2 linked regions of the Stegostoma tigrinum genome follow. The protein of the gene in region 1 interacts with the protein of each later gene in a pairwise test. Links are inferred from orthologs where the notes say so. Each region holds a gene or a part of one and is shown in the gene's direction. Other genes may lie near its edges. The genes, in order: zfyve19 and vacuolar protein sorting-associated protein 4B.

What was found.
Region 2: the proteins of zfyve19 (region 1) and vacuolar protein sorting-associated protein 4B interact in binary tests that used the Homo sapiens proteins (3 or more experiments, as listed by UniProt). The two-hybrid records come from large-scale screens. The link is inferred for Stegostoma tigrinum from reciprocal best matches to the Homo sapiens genes ZFYVE19 and VPS4B.

What each region holds. Positions count from the first base shown.
Region 1 is NC_081363.1:82,441,195-82,450,414, forward strand, and holds the start of zfyve19 (abscission/NoCut checkpoint regulator), read left to right. Parts: upstream 1-5,494; 5' UTR 5,495-5,633; coding exon 5,634-5,687; intron 5,688-9,220. Other genes in the region: dnajc17 (dnaJ homolog subfamily C member 17), read right to left, coding at 4,992-5,066. UniProt on the Homo sapiens protein: Key regulator of abscission step in cytokinesis: part of the cytokinesis checkpoint, a process required to delay abscission to prevent both premature resolution of intercellular chromosome bridges and accumulation of DNA damage.
Region 2 is NC_081355.1:54,427,612-54,437,282, forward strand, and holds the start of vacuolar protein sorting-associated protein 4B, read left to right. Parts: upstream 1-5,982; 5' UTR 5,983-6,107; coding exon 6,108-6,134; intron 6,135-9,671.

The sequences.
Region 1 (9,220 bases):
AATGTTTTACACCCACAATATTCCTGCAAAACTGTTTGTTTTGTCATCTTCCCTATTTCAGAATGAATGCAAACATGCTTGCATTTAAAGGGAGTGTCATTTATTATGTTATAATATATACATATACTATGTATATTAGTAATTAGTAATCCATTTTGCCACATGTAAAAGATTTTTTAAAAAATACACGAGCGATTTTCCCACCGTCAAAATCACTGTGACATTTTTTTGGATAACAAAGTGTGTGGCTGGATGAACACAGCAGGCCAAGCAGCATCTCAGGAGCACAAAAGCTGGCAGCATCTCAGGAGCACAAAAGCTCATCCAGCCTCACATTTTGTTATGTTGGAATTCTCCAGCATCTGCAGTTCCCATTATCTGTGACATTTTTTTGTATTTTTTCCTATAATTACTAACCACTACCAGTACTCAGTGTTAAACAGTTACAAAGCAAAGCCCACAAAAGGATGTCTGTCATAATAAACAAGTTATTAATGATACCTCCTGTGAGTTTCTTTAATCTGAGATCTTTAAGATGAAAAAATACTAGTTGATTCCCAATAATAGCTATCCAAACATCCACGTTCCAGCTGATATTTCAAATAAAATATATATAGTCCATACACTAGCCTTGATTTGCAATGTTAAGACAAATAGCATCTTAGCCTTACATAGTTGTCACAGTAAGGCATTACTTTTGTAGAAATTAAAATTGGTTAACTTAACATTTATGATGACCTTGAATAGTGGGCACAATTTTCAGTGTACACTTTCCATCAGGCTTGTCACAGTAGCATTTACCAGAGCAAAATCAAGGGGTTTTGGCAAAACTGGATACTGAGAATACTTCATCAGGGAAAATGCTCAAAGAAAGAATGTTGTAGTTTTTGGAGGCCAGCTCCTTCTCCAAAATACTTCCCTCCAAATGAGGTCAAAAGCAGGGATGCACCTGGTTCATTGTGCAATGTTCAATTCCATTTCCAGCTCTTCAGCTATTCCATGCTGGTATGAAGCACGATCCAGCCAATATCTTGGTTTGTGTGGAAAGTAACAATCGTACTACATCAACCATCTACCTTGATATAATATGCTATTACCGTCACTAAGTCTCCCACTATTAATATCCTGCAAATTACCATGGACCAGAAACTGAAACATGTCAAGTATATAACTACTGTGGCTGTAACAGCATGCCAAGTGGTTGTGAATTCTGTGATATTCCCAAAGCCTGTCCACCATCGAGAAGGCACAGAGTTGGGGTTGTGTTGGAATAGACGCCACTTGCCTGATTGGGTGCAGCTCCAGCAAGAACCTGGTCATTACCCAAGACAAAACACTTAACTAGCACCTCACCCACTTCCTCCAGCACCAATATAATGCAGCAACAGTCCCTACCACAGCAACTCATCAAGGATCTCTCAACAGAACCTTCTAATCTCACAATTTCTATGACCCGTGAGGCCAATGGTAGCAACCCTCCAAGACTCAGATCTGTATTGCCGTTCCTTCATTGTTAGATCAAAATTCTGGAACTCCCTCCTGGCAGGATATCTACATCGCAAGGACTGCAGCAGTTCAAGAAGGCAGTTCACCAACGCCTTCTCAAGGCAATTAGGGCAAGGAAATAAATAGTGGCCTAGCCAGCAACACTCATACCCCATGAAAAAGTAATAAAATAAATCAGGTATAATGTTATAAAATGTTACAATTTAGTGATCAAATGTTTGGACAAATTAGTAGGCTTTCAAGAAAACTAGAGGAGTAAAAAAACTGGAGATGGACAGATTTTAGGAGAGAATTGGGCATATTTATGTCTAATTGGCTGACAGAATGGCCATCAATAGAAGGCTAATGAAACAAGGAATTTGCAACAGCCCAGAGATTGATAGACACAAAGATTGCAGAACAAAATAGGACTTGACAAGGTTATAGAGATAGAGAACTTGAGGCCAAAGAAATTTTGAAGAAGAAGATGAGATTTAAAACTGAGATGTTAGAGGGCTGAATGCCAGTGCAAGCCAGTGAACGCAGCCAGCTGAGTGAGCAGAACACTAGTTGCAAAGTATGATCCAGGCAAAAGATCATTGGATGAGCTCAGCTTTACAGCTTTATGAAGAATGGGAGGCTGGAGCTCTGGATATATCAAGTCCAGAGGTTTATAAAAAAAAAGACATGGATGTGAGTTTCAGCAACAGATGAGCTGAGCTAGGGCAGAGACAGACAATGTTATGGAGGTGGAAGGAGATGATCTTTGTGATTGAGAAGACTATGGCCCCAGACGCTTCACTCCATGTTAAGTTGAACGCCTAGGTTGCAATTCATTGAGATTTTACCCGGAGAGAGGGATAGAATCGGAGGCAAGTGGTTTGCGTTTGTGCTGGTGACCAAAGACAATGAATGTGGCCATCTTAGCAATTAACTGGAGGAAATTTCAGCTCAGCCAGAATTGAATGTCAGACAAGCAAGCTATGTAGGGCTGAAGGGCAGTTTGCATTGCTGGTGAACATGTGGAGGGTGACGGTGTGTTGTTTAGAAGCAGTAAGGTATCAGAGGAAGCCCAGGAGTTTCCAAAGGTGCACAGGGGCAGGATGAGATTGCCTGATGGTTTCTATTGTCTATGTCAAGAATATAACGATGAAGATACTTCCACAAAGCAGGACAGCAGGGAAGAAGCTCTGAGAAAAGAATGGTGTGGAACGCTGCAGACAACACAAGACGACCATGGAAGAACAGTACACCACAGAGTTCAAGTGGTCATTTGTAACTTAAATATTGCAACACCATATTTCAATTTCTGCAAGAAAAATGGTCACAGGTTTGAAGCTACTACACATTTAGGACGTGACAGCAAAGGACAACATGAGATGGTTTAGTAGTTCTCAAAGACAGAACGATCAAGGTTAGACCTGTTTGAAACAAGGATGAAGTTGGCTAATTCAAAAAATGCAGGAGCAGCATTTGAGGCGTGAACACAGTTTTAAAGAATGCAGCTAATATGGGTGCAATTTGGGTCTGCAATTTAATGGAAATGGGGTAAGAGTATTGAGGTTAACTGCGATTTAATGGAAATGGGGTAAGAGTATTGAGGTCAAGATTGGCACTGAAACAGGAGGGAAAAGAAGTTAGAAATTGCAGAGAGAGAAGCAGACAAGAAGGAAATCTGAATTGGTGAAAAAGGAGAAATATGGCAAATGCAGCTAAATAATTCATTCTTCAAGGCAAAGCCCTTCTCAATTATTGTTGGAGATGTGAGTGGATGGAGACACAAAGTAAGCGAAGCAAGATCATTGAAGGGTTACAGCACAAAAGGAGGTCATCCTTGCTGGAACCTTTCTCATTAATATTTCCAGCAATCTGTACAAAGCTTTCAAACCCCTTCCAAAAGGTGAGCGCCTAAAGTTCGACACAATATCTCAAAGGAGGGTGAACCAGAGTTTCATAAAGGTTCACCATAGCTTCTTTGCATTTGCATGCTATGTCTCTCTTTATAAAGGCCAAGATCCTGTATGTTTTACTAATCATTTCCTCAAACTACCCTGCCACCTACAATGATTTGCATGCATACAACGCCATCTTTCGCTGCTCCTGAACTCCTTCAGAATTGGATCTTTCAGTTTCAATTGCTTCTCCTCACTCTCACTAAACCGTGTTAACATTCGTCAACCATGTCCTCACAGTTCACTATATTTCCATGTTCTATCATTGCTAATTTCAAAATTCAGTTCTCGACAACCGCGTTCAAAAATCACGAACAGATATGAAGAAAAGCACATTACTGACACCTGAGGAACACTACTGCATATCATCCCGTAGTTCAAAAGAATCTTCACCACTACTCATTTTTTTGCCATCACTTTGTGGACTTCCAGGCTGTCACTGTCTCATTTAATCTATGGCTCAACCTTGCAAGCAACTTATTCTGTTGCATTTTATCAAACACCTGTTGAAAATTGTTTACTTTTACCTCAATCCTGTCAATGGGTCAATGCCTTAAACAACAGTGTAAGGTCAGCAACAAACACGAAGTTGATGGAAAAGCTCAGCAGGTCTGGCAACATCTGTGAAGGAAAAGAAGAATGGAACTCAGACCTGCTGAGCTTTTCCAGCAACTTTATTTTTGTTCCTGATTTACAGCAGTTCTTTTGGTTTCTTTCATATAGTGTAAGGTCAACAGTTTGATTCTAAACTGAAAAGGAAAGAGAGACATAATTAACTGGATTGTGATCGCTGCATTTTGTTGCAGGAGGTGAAAATACATAAATTGAGTAAAGGCTTTGAGTGGCCACAGGAATGATAATGATCTGGAACTTAGTATTTGTAAATGGGTAATTATCGTTCAAGAGAAGGTTGAGAATAGGTCTGATAGAGGTACTGAAGCTCATGAAGGGTCGTGGCAAATTAAACTGGGAACAAAACTATTCCCACTAGTGGAAGACGTAAGGAGAATGGGTAAAGAAACAATAGAGATGTGAGCAGAAACATTTTAACAGCAAATAGTTACGCTCAGGAATGCCCTTCCTGAGACTGAGGAGGCAGTTTTAATTGAATTGGGAGTGTGATTTGAAGGGGAAAGAGAGAGAGAGGAATGGCACATTTGGTTGGTAGGTACATGCACACGAAGGACCTAACGGCCTCCTTCTGAGATACAGCCAGCCTGTGATCCCTGACCCTGCGGCTAGACTGAAAGCAGCAGTTGTAAATACTGTCCCCTGACTAAGACCCGGCTTCAGTCAGTGACTGGGGCTGGCGGGGATTTCAAAAAACACTCCACAGACACTTCTTAGATAATAAAATGTGAGGCTGGATGAACACAGCAGGCCAAGCAGCATCTCAGGAGCACAAAAGCTGACGTTTCGGGCCTAGACCCTTCATCAGATGCTGCTTGGCCTGCTGTGTTCATCCAGCCTCACATTTTATTATCTTGGAATTCTCCAGCATCTGCAGTTCCCATTATCTCTGATACTATATTATCCCCACAGACACTTCCTTACCTCTTTACCAGTAGCATCTTCGCTGATCCCCAGCAACGAGTAGAGGTCTAACTGCAGGATTTCTTTAGCTGTCATTGTTCTTCACACTAAAGGTGACCTAGCTCGAAGCAGCAGATTCCGGCCTTTCCTTTCAACCCGATTGCGAAATAGACTCAGGCCTAAACATTCACCACCGGCCTCCAAAACAACACCAAGCCCTTCGAGCCGCGAAGCCTTCTAGGATTGTAGTTTCCGAGACACCACCTGTCCGCTCAGGCTCCTTGAAGTTTTGTCCCAGAAGAGACTATAATTCCCTGCGTGCATCACGGCGTACGCACTGGAAGACACTTGGGATTATGGTCCAGCTCACCGCCACTGTCGGCGGTCAAGTAGCTGCGATGCGCGCCGGGAATTGTAGTTCATGCGGCTCAAGCTCCCCGCACACTCTGCACGTCTGCTGGAAAGAAAGCACTACGGCACCCGGCGGGCAGGGGGTGGGGGCGGAACTGGTTTTTGGTTTCCGGTTGGTAGCCGTGGAGATGGAGAGCGAAGAACGAGCTCCCTGACGGCATTTAACGTAGGAGGGTCGGTGTGAGTGTAATGTAAAAGTGGTCAGGTTATTGCTTTTTAGAATTGAGAGGTTAACAGCCAAACAGGCCGAAGATGGCTGGAAGATGCTATGGCTGCGCGTCCAAGTTTACTCTCCTGAGAAAAGAGGCAAGTTCATGTTCCTCCTAAAGCAGGCAGTTTGTTTGTGTTAAACTTTGCACCAACATCGCAGCAGTAATTCACACCTGCCAGTGAACATTCTCCGTCTACCTGTCATCAGATTCTACGTGAAACATAATTGCATCATTGAATATTCTGTTTCGGTTGGTAGAATCCAAAGAATATTGTGTGATTAGACCATATTTATGTTTATTTGTTGGGGTACTTTACCGTGGAAAATAATCACAGTGTATTACAGAGATCTATCATGGTTGAAAATGCTCCAATATAACGATGCATGTTCTTGTTTAATTTGATCAAATGGAAATAAACAATTTGCTTTCAAATTCTGTACGCTAGAGTAAATCGTTGGGGATGGAAGTGGATGGGCATGTCTGCCAAGGTGGAGTGATTAAGTTTGGAATGTTCGAGTCTAAGAGTATTTTAACACTTGAGGCTAGAGTTAGCAAAAACATAGTTGGGATGAGTATTCATCGAGGTGAAAGCCAGTAGTTTTGATGAATCGCCTACCCTAAAGCTGGCCTACAGTTTGAAAATTGTATTATGATTTCTCAAGGCTTGGGTGACTGACTAGAGAAGGGAACAAATACTGGTCAAGAGATATAGCATAGAATGGAAAACAATGTCTTTGATTTGCTTGAGATAAACAATCTTAAATGTTGTGAAGGGCTGAAATTTGCATTTTATTTAGGTGATAACTAACTTTTGCAAAAATTACAGTTCATCTATTAGTCTAGTCCTGAACCACAACCCGAAAATGGATGCATCAATTCTACAGTTTTGTTTTAGTTGTAGCTGTTGAGATTTTAAACGGCAAACAAACATCTCGTATTTACTGCTCCTCCCTACCTGGTTAGCTCTGTTGGAAAGTGCAAAAGACTAGTTGTTAGCTGTGGGTGGGACTGGAATGGAGAGAATCATAGCTGATCCCAATCCCTTTAGGATTCTGTTGTTCTCCAAAATGCATCAGGTGGACCTGAGGAAATAAGTTTCAAAATTTCTACTGTCCATGGGTAAATCAAAATTTTTAAAAAAGATGAATTTTTATTTATCTTGTATAGTATTTTCATAGAGTCATAGAGGTTTGTTGAATGGAAAGATGGCCCAACTTGGCCATGCCGTCCAGATTTCACAATTAAACTATTCCCATTTGCCTGCATCTGGTCTATTTCCCTCCTTACCTACACCATACGTGTACCTGACCCAATATGAAATTGTACTTACTTCCACCATTATCTCTGGCAGCCCGTTCCAGACACTCACCACCCCCGGTGTGTAAAAAATGCCCCTCTGCACCTTTTTGTATCTCTCTCCTCTCAGCTTAAACCTATGCTCTGCCATGGGGAAAAGCTGTTGGCTATTTACCTTACCTATGCCACTCATGATTTCATAAGCATCTATAATGTCACCACTCAATCTCCTATGCTCCAGGAGGAAAAAAAATCCCAGCCTATCCAGCCTTTCCCTCTGATTAATAACTTTCCTTTGTATGAGAGTTCTGAGGAAGGGCCACTGGCCTCGAAATGTTAAATGTGATTTCTCTCCATAGTTGCTTCCAGACCTGCGCTTTTGTAGCAATCTCTGTTTTCATTGCCATAGATATTCTCAGAGCAATGCAAGTTGTTACTGTGAGCTGTGTTTAGGGCTGCCCACTACTACCTATACAAAATCTTGATCCAGATTGTTCGCACACTCAATACACCAAACTGGAAATTCATACCTTATTATACACATTAAATGAAATGTCACCAGTTTGAAATTACGAAGCTTCTTCACTTCAGGAGTCCACAGAACAACAATCATCAGATAACCTTGTCATCAAGTCTCCTCTTAAAAGTTAGACAACTGCGACCAGAATGTTGTGAATGAATTTGTCAAGGTGTCCAATAATACCAAAGCAGTCAAATCAATACATACACAAGCTGGTCTCAATACAAAGCAGTCGCAACTTTATTAGGAACAAAGTTACAATAACCTTTCTTACTAAACATACTGTCTCTAAACCTATTTGGCCTCTTACGGTTGCAGAACTTCTCGAGTCCTTTGTAGACATTATGCAGCTGCCTTGTCTCTGGATCTGCGAAGCTGCTCTCTCTCACTCTGTTTGGCTTGTCATACTGATCTCCCCAAAGTCTTCAGACAATTACAAGAGAGTGGTGTGTTTTTATACATTTTCGGTGGCTTTTCTGGAACTTTCTGTAGTTCTGGCCAATCAGGGGCATACACTTAATAGTTTGAAACAGACTTAATCATTTGGAAGGCATGTTACTGTTAGTTTCTTTGTCTAGCAGGATCCAGAGCATTTCTGTTTGAGCCCTCCTTTATTTGGGGGTATGTCTGTCCAACATAACTGTTGTCTTTTACATTAAGCTAATATCATTAGCGCCTGGCTGCTGTGTTTGAGCTGAGTCTACTGTGTGGATTTTGTGCTTTCAATGTTTTACTTGGCCAGTGCACCAGCATCCCTTGCTGTTTGGCCGAGTTAGTAATCTATCTGTGTTTTTGCAGCCCAGAGGCTTCTACACGTCCAGTATAAGTTATCTTTGCAAAACATAAGCAAGATATTAATGGACCATTTGGCTTGCTTCCAACAAACAACCTCTTGTCTTCCTGAGTTCTGTAAATTGTATTCCTGTCTTTTTGTTTCCTCTTTGAAAACCTGATGAATGCACCTGAGCCTGTTTATATTTTTTAAAAAATCTATGTTCACAAACCAAGTTTCGGTCTGAGGACCTCACCAGGTTGCCCAAGGCAAAACATCTCCAGACACATTGGAATATAGACAGCAAAACAAATTTGTAATTGTCAATCAACATTTATTTTGGGGGAAAATAACTTAAAAGCCTAACCTTTCTTTGAAAAATGTGTGAATTTTAAACTTTAAACAATTTAATCTGTAACCATGAAATAAATTATTTCCTCAAAAAATGTTTTCATAATTTTCCACAAAATTGTGAAAAATTACAACATGTGGCAGTGCCAATTTAAAATAAAGTCAGTGTATTGACTATCTCCTCTGTAGTGTTGGGATACTGCCATTAACTCAAGATTGACTGGAACCAAGAGGAATTTCTGCTATTCAGTAGACAAGTGAAGGTGTTTATCTACACAGCTTAAAGCCACCAAAGCTGCATTATACTATCTGGGAATACTATAAAAGTACTGCTACAACTGAAATAATCAGTTACACAGCAATATCCAGTTGTTGGGCAACCAGAAGATTAATGCAAAATAATAAATCTCTTTTTGCTTTTCACTGTCTCCTCTGTCTAGTGTTCCCCAAACACGTTGCCCCTATTCTTCCCTTCCTTCTAATCCACCCCATTACAATGGTATTGTGTTGAGGTATTCTTGCACATCAGAATCTGTATCAATTTACCCTCGCTGCAATGTTATCCTTGTATCTGAAAATGCTAACTTTTTTTTGTTACCTGCTTGATTCAGCAATTGACAGATTTCTTATTCAAATGAATCATTTGATTCTGTTGAGAGTGACAAATTCATTATTAAGAATGATGAAA
Region 2 (9,671 bases), on another chromosome or scaffold:
TAAAGATTCTATGACCGCTGTTGTTGAGTGGGAGCGCACCAGGGATCTTAATTGTGCAAACTGGAGCTGGGATGTGGAGGAGATAACAGTTGTGAAGTGGAGGACAAATAAATGTGTAGGGATGGGAGAGATGACTTGCATGGAAGGGAAAGGGGTGACGGATGTAGGGTCATTGACAGTCAGGCATACCATGGCTTTCACAGGGAGACAGTGCACTGATATTTCTAGCATCTTGACTCAATATGGAGTTGAAGTTTTAAATAGATAGGTTCCTAGGAAACATGAGGAAATTCAAAGCTGATAGGGAGGGCTACCAAGAAAAGATTATGTACATTTTCAAGCTGAATAAAGGTAAGAGGTGTGAACTTGAGAGTCTCTGCATAAAATAGAGTTGTTATTTCCCCTCATCATGATGCAAAAACAAGTGCATAGTGGAATTGAAAATGGGTGCCACCACCCCCACACAAAAAAGAGACAAGGTAACTGCCTTGTTCTGTGAGGGAATGAGCTTCATGTTTAAGCAATGTGAAGCCAATCAAAGAGCAACGGCATTACACAGAAAGCCAAACAGTAGAGCTGAAAGATACCCATCAAACTACAAGCTATGTGAACTTGAGATGATAACTTCTACAAATCCTGTCCCCAAACACTCTTAACCACACTGTGCAGCATCAGGACTCAGTCCCACTAATGACCTGAATCACAGGCAATGTACTGCAGCGCTGAAAAATGCACTGTCATTGCAATCACCTTCCATGTTCCCATAGCCTGCACCTGGTACATGAGCTGCTTACTTTACACCTTGGAGTATAAATCTCTCATGTAGTCCATTGATCACTAAGCTCTGCTACTTCATTCTTGTATTTGCAGCAAAGTAGACATTTGGTCACACAGCTGATGATTAAAACTGAACATTGATTGATTGATTTATTGTTGTCACATGTACCAAGGTGAAGTAAAAAGTGTTGTTTTGAGTACTATACAGGCAGAATGTATCGTACAAAGTGCATCATTGTAGCAGAACAGACTGCTGAATACAGTGTTACAGTCACAGAGAACGTGCAGGGAGAGAGACATCAGAGTTATGAAATGATAGGTCTATTCAAAAGTCTGATAACAGCAGAGAAGAAGCTTTTCTTGAATTTCTTGATACACATTTTCAAACTTTTGTATTGTCTGCCTGATGGAAGGAGGTGAAAGAGAGTATAACTAGGTTGGGTGGGGTCCTTGATTATGTTGGCTGCTTTCCCAAGGCAGTGGGAAATGTAAACGGAGTCAACGGAATGAAGGCTAGTTTTCATAATGGACTGGGCTGGTTCGTAATTCTTTGTAATTTCTTGCAGTCTTGGGCAGCGCTGTTGACATACCAAGCTGTGATGCATCCGGATCAAATGCTTTCTATGGTGCATCTATAAAAATTGGTCTGAGTAATTGTGTATGTGCCAAATTTCCTTAGCTTTCTGAAGAAGTAGGGGCATTGGTGTGCAAGATTGTTGGTGATATTTACTTCTAGGAACTTATAGCTCTTGATTACCTCAGCACCGTTGATACAGATGAGGATGTGCCCTCCACTCCAGTTCATGAAGTTGATGACCAGCTCCTTTGTTTTACAGACATTGAGAGAGAGATTGTTGACTTGATACCATGCCACAGAGCTGTCTTTTTCCTGTACTCTGTTTCATTGCCGTTTGATATCCAAACCACTACAATGGTGTCAATGGTTGTAAATGGAGTTAACACTGAATTTGGCCACACAGTCATGAATATATAAGGAGTATAGTAAGGAGCTGAGTAGGAGCCTTGCAAGGCACTGGTGTTGAAAATTATTGTGGAGGAAACATTGTCACCCATCATTACTGATTGCAGTCTGCATGTGTTCATCTAAACATTTTCAAAGCAATTGAAGTTTTCCTCTTCTACCCTCAACTTTATCCAGGATAGTGGTAATGACAGGGTAGGCAGCGTTCTGACACCTGAGCCGGTTTGTTTTTTCCTTTCTTTTTACTTTTCTTTCTTCTTTACTCTTCAGTCTTCATTTTTTCCTTCTTTTTGGCATGATGGCTGCACGCAACCTGGGGCAGCAGCAGGGTCAAGGTTGAGCCCAAAGCAGGGGATATTGAGCCCTTGTGAGGTATCTGAGTCCAACCTGTCTGGGCATTTATGGACTGTGGTCTTGAACTGTTAACTGTGTTTCTTTATTTTTCTACTTTTTAACTTTGTTTTCCTTATTTTCTGCTTTATGACTAAGTGGCGACTTATAAACTTTTCTCTGTACTCATGTGAATATATGTGACAATAAACCTAATTCAAATTACTCTTTTAGGCAGTGATTTCCAGATATACATAATGTTTTGGGTGAAAAGAAATTCTTCAAATCCCCTGTAAACCTCCTGCTCCTTACCTTGACCCCTGTTTCCTGCCCCTCTGAATGAGTTTTTTTCATTTCTACCTTGTGTATGCCCCTCAGAACTTTCCACCCCTCAATCAGATTTCCCTTCTGCCTCTCTGCTCTAAAGTAAGTGACCACAGCCTATTAAATCTATCTTCATAGCTGAATCATTCCAGCCCAGGCAATATCTTAGTGAATTTCTTCTTCACTCTCTCCAGTGCTATCACATTCTTTCTATGTTATGATGACCAGAACTGCACCAACCATGGCCTAACTAATGTTATATACAGCTCCTTCATTACCTCCTTGATCTTTTATCCAATGCCTTAATTAGTTAAGGCAAGTATACAATATGTCTTCTTAACCACCTTATCTACCTGACCTTCAAAGATCTATGGACATGCATACCAAGGTCCCTCTGATTCTTTGTACTTCCTAGGGTCCTACCACTTGATGTATACTCCCTAGCCATGGGTTCTAAAGTGAACAGAAGCCATGCATAGCTTTAATTTAATTAAAATTGCTATATTGTGTGTGAAGAAGGAAGAAAACAGTTTTAGCTTCATTAGCAAATTTGGTAAGAATCAGTTTGTTTCTTCTTCCAAGTCACTAATATTGATTGTAAATAGTTGAGGCCCCAGCACTGATTCCTACAAAATTCCAAAGTAACAGTTTGTTAGCCAGAAATGACTTTTTTATCCTATCTCTGTGTTCCCTGTTAGCCACATTAACATATTACCCCTCCACAGCCCAAACGCTTAACTTGTGTGAAAGCACCTTATCAATAAGTGTTGGAAACCAAACTACATTATACTTATTGATTCCTCTATATCCACCCTCACTTATTACATCCTCATCAACTATTGTAAATTTATCAAACACAGTTTCTTCTTCATAAAAACATACAGAGTCTGCTTGATTGAACAGACCAACAAAACCCATTTGTTCTAAACGGGTTAAAGGAAAATTTATTGCAAGTTATTACTGCAGGTTCCTGAGGGATAGAGTTATTAACAACAAAGTTTAGGAGCCTAGGGTTCAAGACTCATCTGCCCTAGGAGTGTATTTCCGACCAAATTGATTCAAAAAGATTTAAAACAAGTACAGATAAAGCAGAAGAATATGCAAGAGTCTAAATAAGTCGCTGTAATATAATATGGCTTGTTTCTGAAGTTGGGATTACTGCTTGATATATAATCCAGCAGTGTAATAGCTGCTGTTATTGAATAGGTTGTGTTAACTTGAACAGGTCATTTTTTCAGAACAGTATATTTATGAGAAGAATGAATCCTAGATTCCAGGGTGGGCATGGCAGTTTTAGCAGACTACCAGATGTTTCAGCATCTCTCTTTCTCCTTCACAATCTCCTGGAGAGGTTTGTGAATGGCACTTTTATCTCGCTCATTCAAAAATCCCCTGCCTCGTTATCAAAGTTGCTGCAAGAACTCTTGAACAATGGCTGTTCTTGGCTGGGTTTCTTTATACAGCCAGCAGAAGAAAGGAACAACAGTAGACCATTCAGCTCTTTGACCCATTTTCACCATTTAATACGATCACGCTGATCATCCAACTCAATATCTTGTTCCCACTTTCTCCCTATGCTTTTTGATACCTTTAGTCCTAAAATTTGTATCACCATATTTCTTGGAAGTTTTCAATTTTTTGGCCCCAGCTGCTTTCTGCAGCAGAAAATTCCTAAGGCTCACCACTCTCTAACTTAAGAAATTTCTCCTCATCTCTGTCTTAAATGGAGCACCCCATATCCTTGAACTGTGACCCCTGGTTCTGGACTCTCCCATCATTGGAGACATCCTCCATGCATTTAGGTTACTGACATTCTACACCCGCCCCCCTCAAATGCTTCAAAACTCCATGAATATAGTTCTATCTGATCCAGTCTCTCACCATACGTTAGTCCCACCATTGCAGGAATCCCAGGAAGGTAAACCTTTTTTGCAAAGACTTAATAACCAGAATATCCTTCCTGAAATAAGACCTAAACTGAACACCCTACTCCAGGTATGGTCTGACCTCGGCAAAGACATCTTTGCTTCATGCCCTAATTCCCTTCCTCTGAAGGTTAACATTCTATTTTGCCTTTTTCACCAACTGCTGCAGCTACATACTTATTTTGAGTTACTGGTATACAAGGACACAGTGGTCTCATTCTGCATCTGTCACGAATTTGCCCACTTGTGCAAATCGCACTGAAACCTCTTCACATTTTTCTAACGGCATACCCTCCCATGGAGCTTTGTGTTAGCTGCAAATTTTGAGATATTACAATTAGTTCCCTCATCTAAATCATATGTATATTGTGAACGGTTTCCTGTCTGCCAACCAGTTCTTAATCTATTTCAGAACATGACCCCCAATCCCATGTGCTTCAATTTTGTCTGCTAATCTCTTACGTGGAGTCTTATCAAAAGCCTTCTGAAAATCCAAGCAAATCACATCCACTGGCTACTCCTTATCTATGCCACTAGTTACATCCTCAAAAAATTCCTGCAGCTTTATTAAGCACAGCTTCCTTAAGCTAAGCTGACTCTGTCTCATTCTGTTACAATCTTGCAGTTCAAAAATGCAAAATGGAAAATTTTGGGCAATCAAGTTTTCTGCAAAGAATTCACTTCTGCTGAGTCCCCGTGAAATTCTTCCTCCCACCTACTGTTTGTTTCTGAGGCTGGAGTTCTTGCATTTCCATTGTCTGTTTGCAAACCTTGGGAGTTCAAGAATCTTTATGTCATTTTTATGTTATCTGGGCAACCAGTAGGAGAGACAAGGACTCAAGGTCAAGGTCTCAGTGAACCTTTTAGAACTGACATGGCATTTCTTCAGCCAGAATCATAGAATCCCTAGTGTGGAAGCAGCTTTTTTGGTCCATTGAGTTCACAGTGACCCTGCAAAGAGGGTCCTACCAGACCCACCAACTTCCCCTATCCAGGAGAAAACCAGAGCACTTGTGGAAACCCAAGCAGACATGTGGAGAATACACAAACTCCAGAGTCACCTAAGGGTGGAATCAAACCCAGGTCCCTGATGTCCCTGGCACTATAAGGCTGCAATGCTAACCACTGAACCACTGTGCAGCCCTAAAGGGTGGTGAATCTGTCGAATACATTGCTGCAGCAGGCTGTGGAGGCAATGTCAGAGTTTAACACAGAGTTAGTTAAGTTCATTATTAGTAAGGGGATCTGAGGTTACTGGGAGATGGCAGGAGAATAGGGCTAAGAAACATATCAGCCATAATCGAATGGCAGAGTAAACTCCTTGGGCTGAATGGCCTAATTCTGATCCTATATCTTGTGGTCCTATCAGAAATGTTTAAATGTGCTGCTCTTGTTTCTTTGGTAGCAACCTTTTCCCAAAGGTGAGATAACAAGGTGTACAGCAGCATCAGAGGAGCAGGAAAGCTGATGTTTCGGGCTTAGACCCTTCTTCAGAAAAGGTGCCTGGTTTACCAACAGGAGGCACTGCTGCTGCAGTTTTGGAGACAATAGGAGTTCAGGCACGGGAAAGGGAGCGGGACAAAACACCGGAAGTGTGCCGCCGTCATGGCATCTTGTGCTCGAGTCTATCGGAAGTGACGGAGGTGCGTTTTGGCCGGCCGCTCGGAGGCGGAAGTAGGGTCGTGTTTGTTTTAGCAAGTTCGGAGTCGGGGCATCGGCGTTTTTTCTGTCACCTCCTGGTCAACACAGTCAGCGTAAGGACAGGGCAGATGGCCGCTCACAGTAACAACCTGCAGGTAATCACTGCCGCTGAGGGTGGGCGGCGGGAGCGATATCCTCCCTTTGGGGCTCTCACATCAACTGCTTCTTATCCAGGGCTGGGTCCAGAATTCGGGGGCGAGAGTGGGATAAGAGCCCGAAATTAAGGTTCAAACACAGGGGAGAGGGGAAGGTGCCCTACAGCTAGGACAGGCTGAGTTTCTAGTTCCCTACATGACGTGACTGTTAAAGGGCAGTAGCCGGAAGAAGGCAAGGCGAAAAGCAGCATCAGCCAGCCCCTCCTTTAAACCTCTGAAGCATTCACCAATAGAACTTTGTAATACATAAGCAACATCTCCTCGACAAGCAATCAGCTGCTGTTCTCTGTTTTGTTTCTTAGCTTCTCACATTGGGACTGGGAAAGAAAATATTTGCTTTAAAACAGGACACTGTTCATGAAAAAAGCGCGACTTTGGAGAGTGTACACAAATTTGCAGAACTGTGACAATCAGTGTTTATCGCAGATGCAAATAATCCCTGGTACTGAGCAAAATCATTTTAGATATAAATGGCTAACTGCCTAACAAGACTTTATAAATTGCTAGGACTGTAAAAACAAGCCAGGAGTCATAACGATGAAATCCTTTCAATTATTGCAAAATCTTCACAACAGACTAATCAGTTTTTCAGTCCAACAGGTTATGCTTTGTCTATGTGAGTCTTCTCCCAGCCTAATCTAAATCCTTTCTCACTTGTACTTATTCTACTTCCTCTTACATTTCTGCTGTTTTCCTCAATGCCCTTGTTCCACATTGTAACTGCTTGCCACTGACTTCTGTATAACTGTCTTGATCATGATGTTTTTCTTAAATTCCTCTTTTGGTTTTGATTTTCTTGTCATGTGTACTGAAATACAGTGCAAGGCTTTGTTTATGAGCGGTACAGGCAAATCACAGCAAGCAAAGGATGTACAGATCAAAAAGACTTACAGGCATAAAGGTTACATTGCAAGTTACATTATTTGAGGCTAGATTCCATTCGGTCTGTTAATGGCCAGAAAGAAGCTCCAGAACCTGCTTGTGCATATGTTCAGGCTTCTGTATCTTCTGTCAGATGGAAGAGGTTGTAGGAGGCCATTGTCAGGTCTGATGGGTCATTGACGATGTTGGCCACCTTTCAGCAGCAGTAAGTAGAGTCCATGGATGGAAGGTTGGCTTCTGCGATGGTCTGGTTGTTGATGCCCATTTTGTACTTGTGCCATCGCTCTGCTGTTGCCTACAGGTTGAAGCATCATCTTTGTCTAACTTATCAATTTCTTTCATAACGTCTTATCAGTTGTTTCTCAGTCTGTTCTAGAAAAAAGAGCCCTCACCTGTTCAATGTTTGTAAAGCCACAGTCCCCAAAAAGTTGCAAATTTATAACAGGACGTGGCCAGCTGGTCCAAGATGCCTGTGCTGGTGAAATGCATAATTTCATTATTCCCAATCATATAGTTTGCTTTTATCGGTTTACCTTTTTAAAATTCCTATCCGATAAACCTCTCTTCCTTACCGTTATAAAGTCTACAGCCTCCCAAATTCACAGATTATATCGGCTGTAAATGCTCATCACAGAAACGGAAGCCAATTATCCCATCAACCCCTCCACCCCGATCATATCCTGTATCGCTGAAATTTTTCCATAAGTATTTATCCAAGTTACTTTTAAAAATTACCATATCATCTTCTAGCACCTTTTCAGGCAGTGCATTCTAGGTCCTCTTCAGATTAATGTAAATGACTGGTGGATATTCAATTCTAACTTAAATCATAAAAATTGCTGTCTATTGGAAATGCCATTTGGAAAGTGGCTGCCATATCTGTTTAAAAGCAACTACACTTAAAAGTAATTCATTTGTAGGAAAATGTTTTGGAATTACCTGAAAGCTAGTATAGAATGGATGGAAGTGTATTATTTTCTTTCCAAACTAGTTCTCATTCAGCTACTAACAGTTCAACTGTTACAATTAACTGACACAAACTTAACGTTTTTTTACCTCCGACAGTGGCTGTTCCACAGACCCCTTATTTGAGTTCAGTGAAGGAATGGACCTTCCACCCTCATCACATTTAATATTGTTGTTGAGATGAAAATTTGAGTTTCTTGTTTAGAACTTTGGTTTCCATCTGTTTGGCAACCAATATTTCATGTGAAGGGTGACATTCATTATAAAAGTGTATCGAATATAATGCAAATATAAATGATTAACATATGGTGGCAAGATGGTCCACTGGTTAACACTGTTGTCTCTCAGCAGCAGGGAGCCAGGTTCAATTCCAGTGTTGGGTGTTTGTGTGGAGTCTGCACATTCTGCCCTTGCCTGTATGGGTTTCTGCTAGGTGCTCCAGGTTCTTTGCATAGTCCAAAAATGTGCAGGTTAGGTGGATTGGCCATGCTGAATTGACCGTAATGTCCAGGAATACGTGGGCTGGTTGGATTAGCTATGTTAAATATGGGATTGTGGGGGTAAATTGACGGGCTGGGTCTGGGTGGGATGATCTTCAGGGAGTTGGTGCAGGCTCGATAGGCTGAATGCTGTAGGGATTCTATGATATGTAGTAAGTTAGTTATTGATTGCTTAACATGTCCAATCACATTGGAACCACAATCAATGGGCAGTCAATATTTTGCTGTACAAATCTGAGTTTCCAGCTAAAACTGCGATATTCTGAACGTCTTTGGTCACTGATTCTCAAGGGAGACATTCACCTTCTGGAGATTCATTTCTGCAACAGAGAACAACATTGTGTAGGACTATTTGAAAAAGTAATCTTTTGATCAGGAAAGGTGGCAGCTAAATAGGCTTTCAATAAGTATCTATATGATAAAAGAAAAACCAGAAAATTAGTGAATAAAACCATTATAGTGAAACAGAATTGATGTTCAAATTTAGGCATGAAATACACTTCATACATCTGAACAATACATTTAACAATGGAATTCCAGTTGGTTAGTAAAGACCTAAATTGTGAATGCACACCTATATTTTTGATAGGACTTGGCCGTCTCATTATTCAGGCTATGATGTTTTAAGCCTTGACAATCACTTGATTATTTATGTAAGAAAAGAGGATAGGTTAAATACATTTCTGGCTCCATTGATCCCCTCTCTACATAATTATTTTATCCCAATGTTCAGGGATAACATTAATGATTTCTCCGCAACTTTCCCCCCACGGTGATCGAGAACGCCCTTGACCGCGTCTCCCGCATTTCCCGCGACACATCCCTCACACCCCGCCCCCGCCACAACCGCCCCAAGAGGATCCCCCTCGTTCTCACACACCACCCTACCAACCTCCGGATACAACGCATTATCCTCCGATACTTCCGCCATTTACAATCCGACCCCACCACCCAAGACATTTTTCCATCCCCTCCCCTGTCTGCTTTCCGGAGAGACCACTCTCTCCATGACTCCCTTGTTCGCTCCACACTGCCCTCCAACCCCACCACACCCGGCACCTTCCCCTGCAACCGCAGGAAATGCTACACTTGTCCCCACACCTCCTCACTCACCCCCATCCCAGGCCCC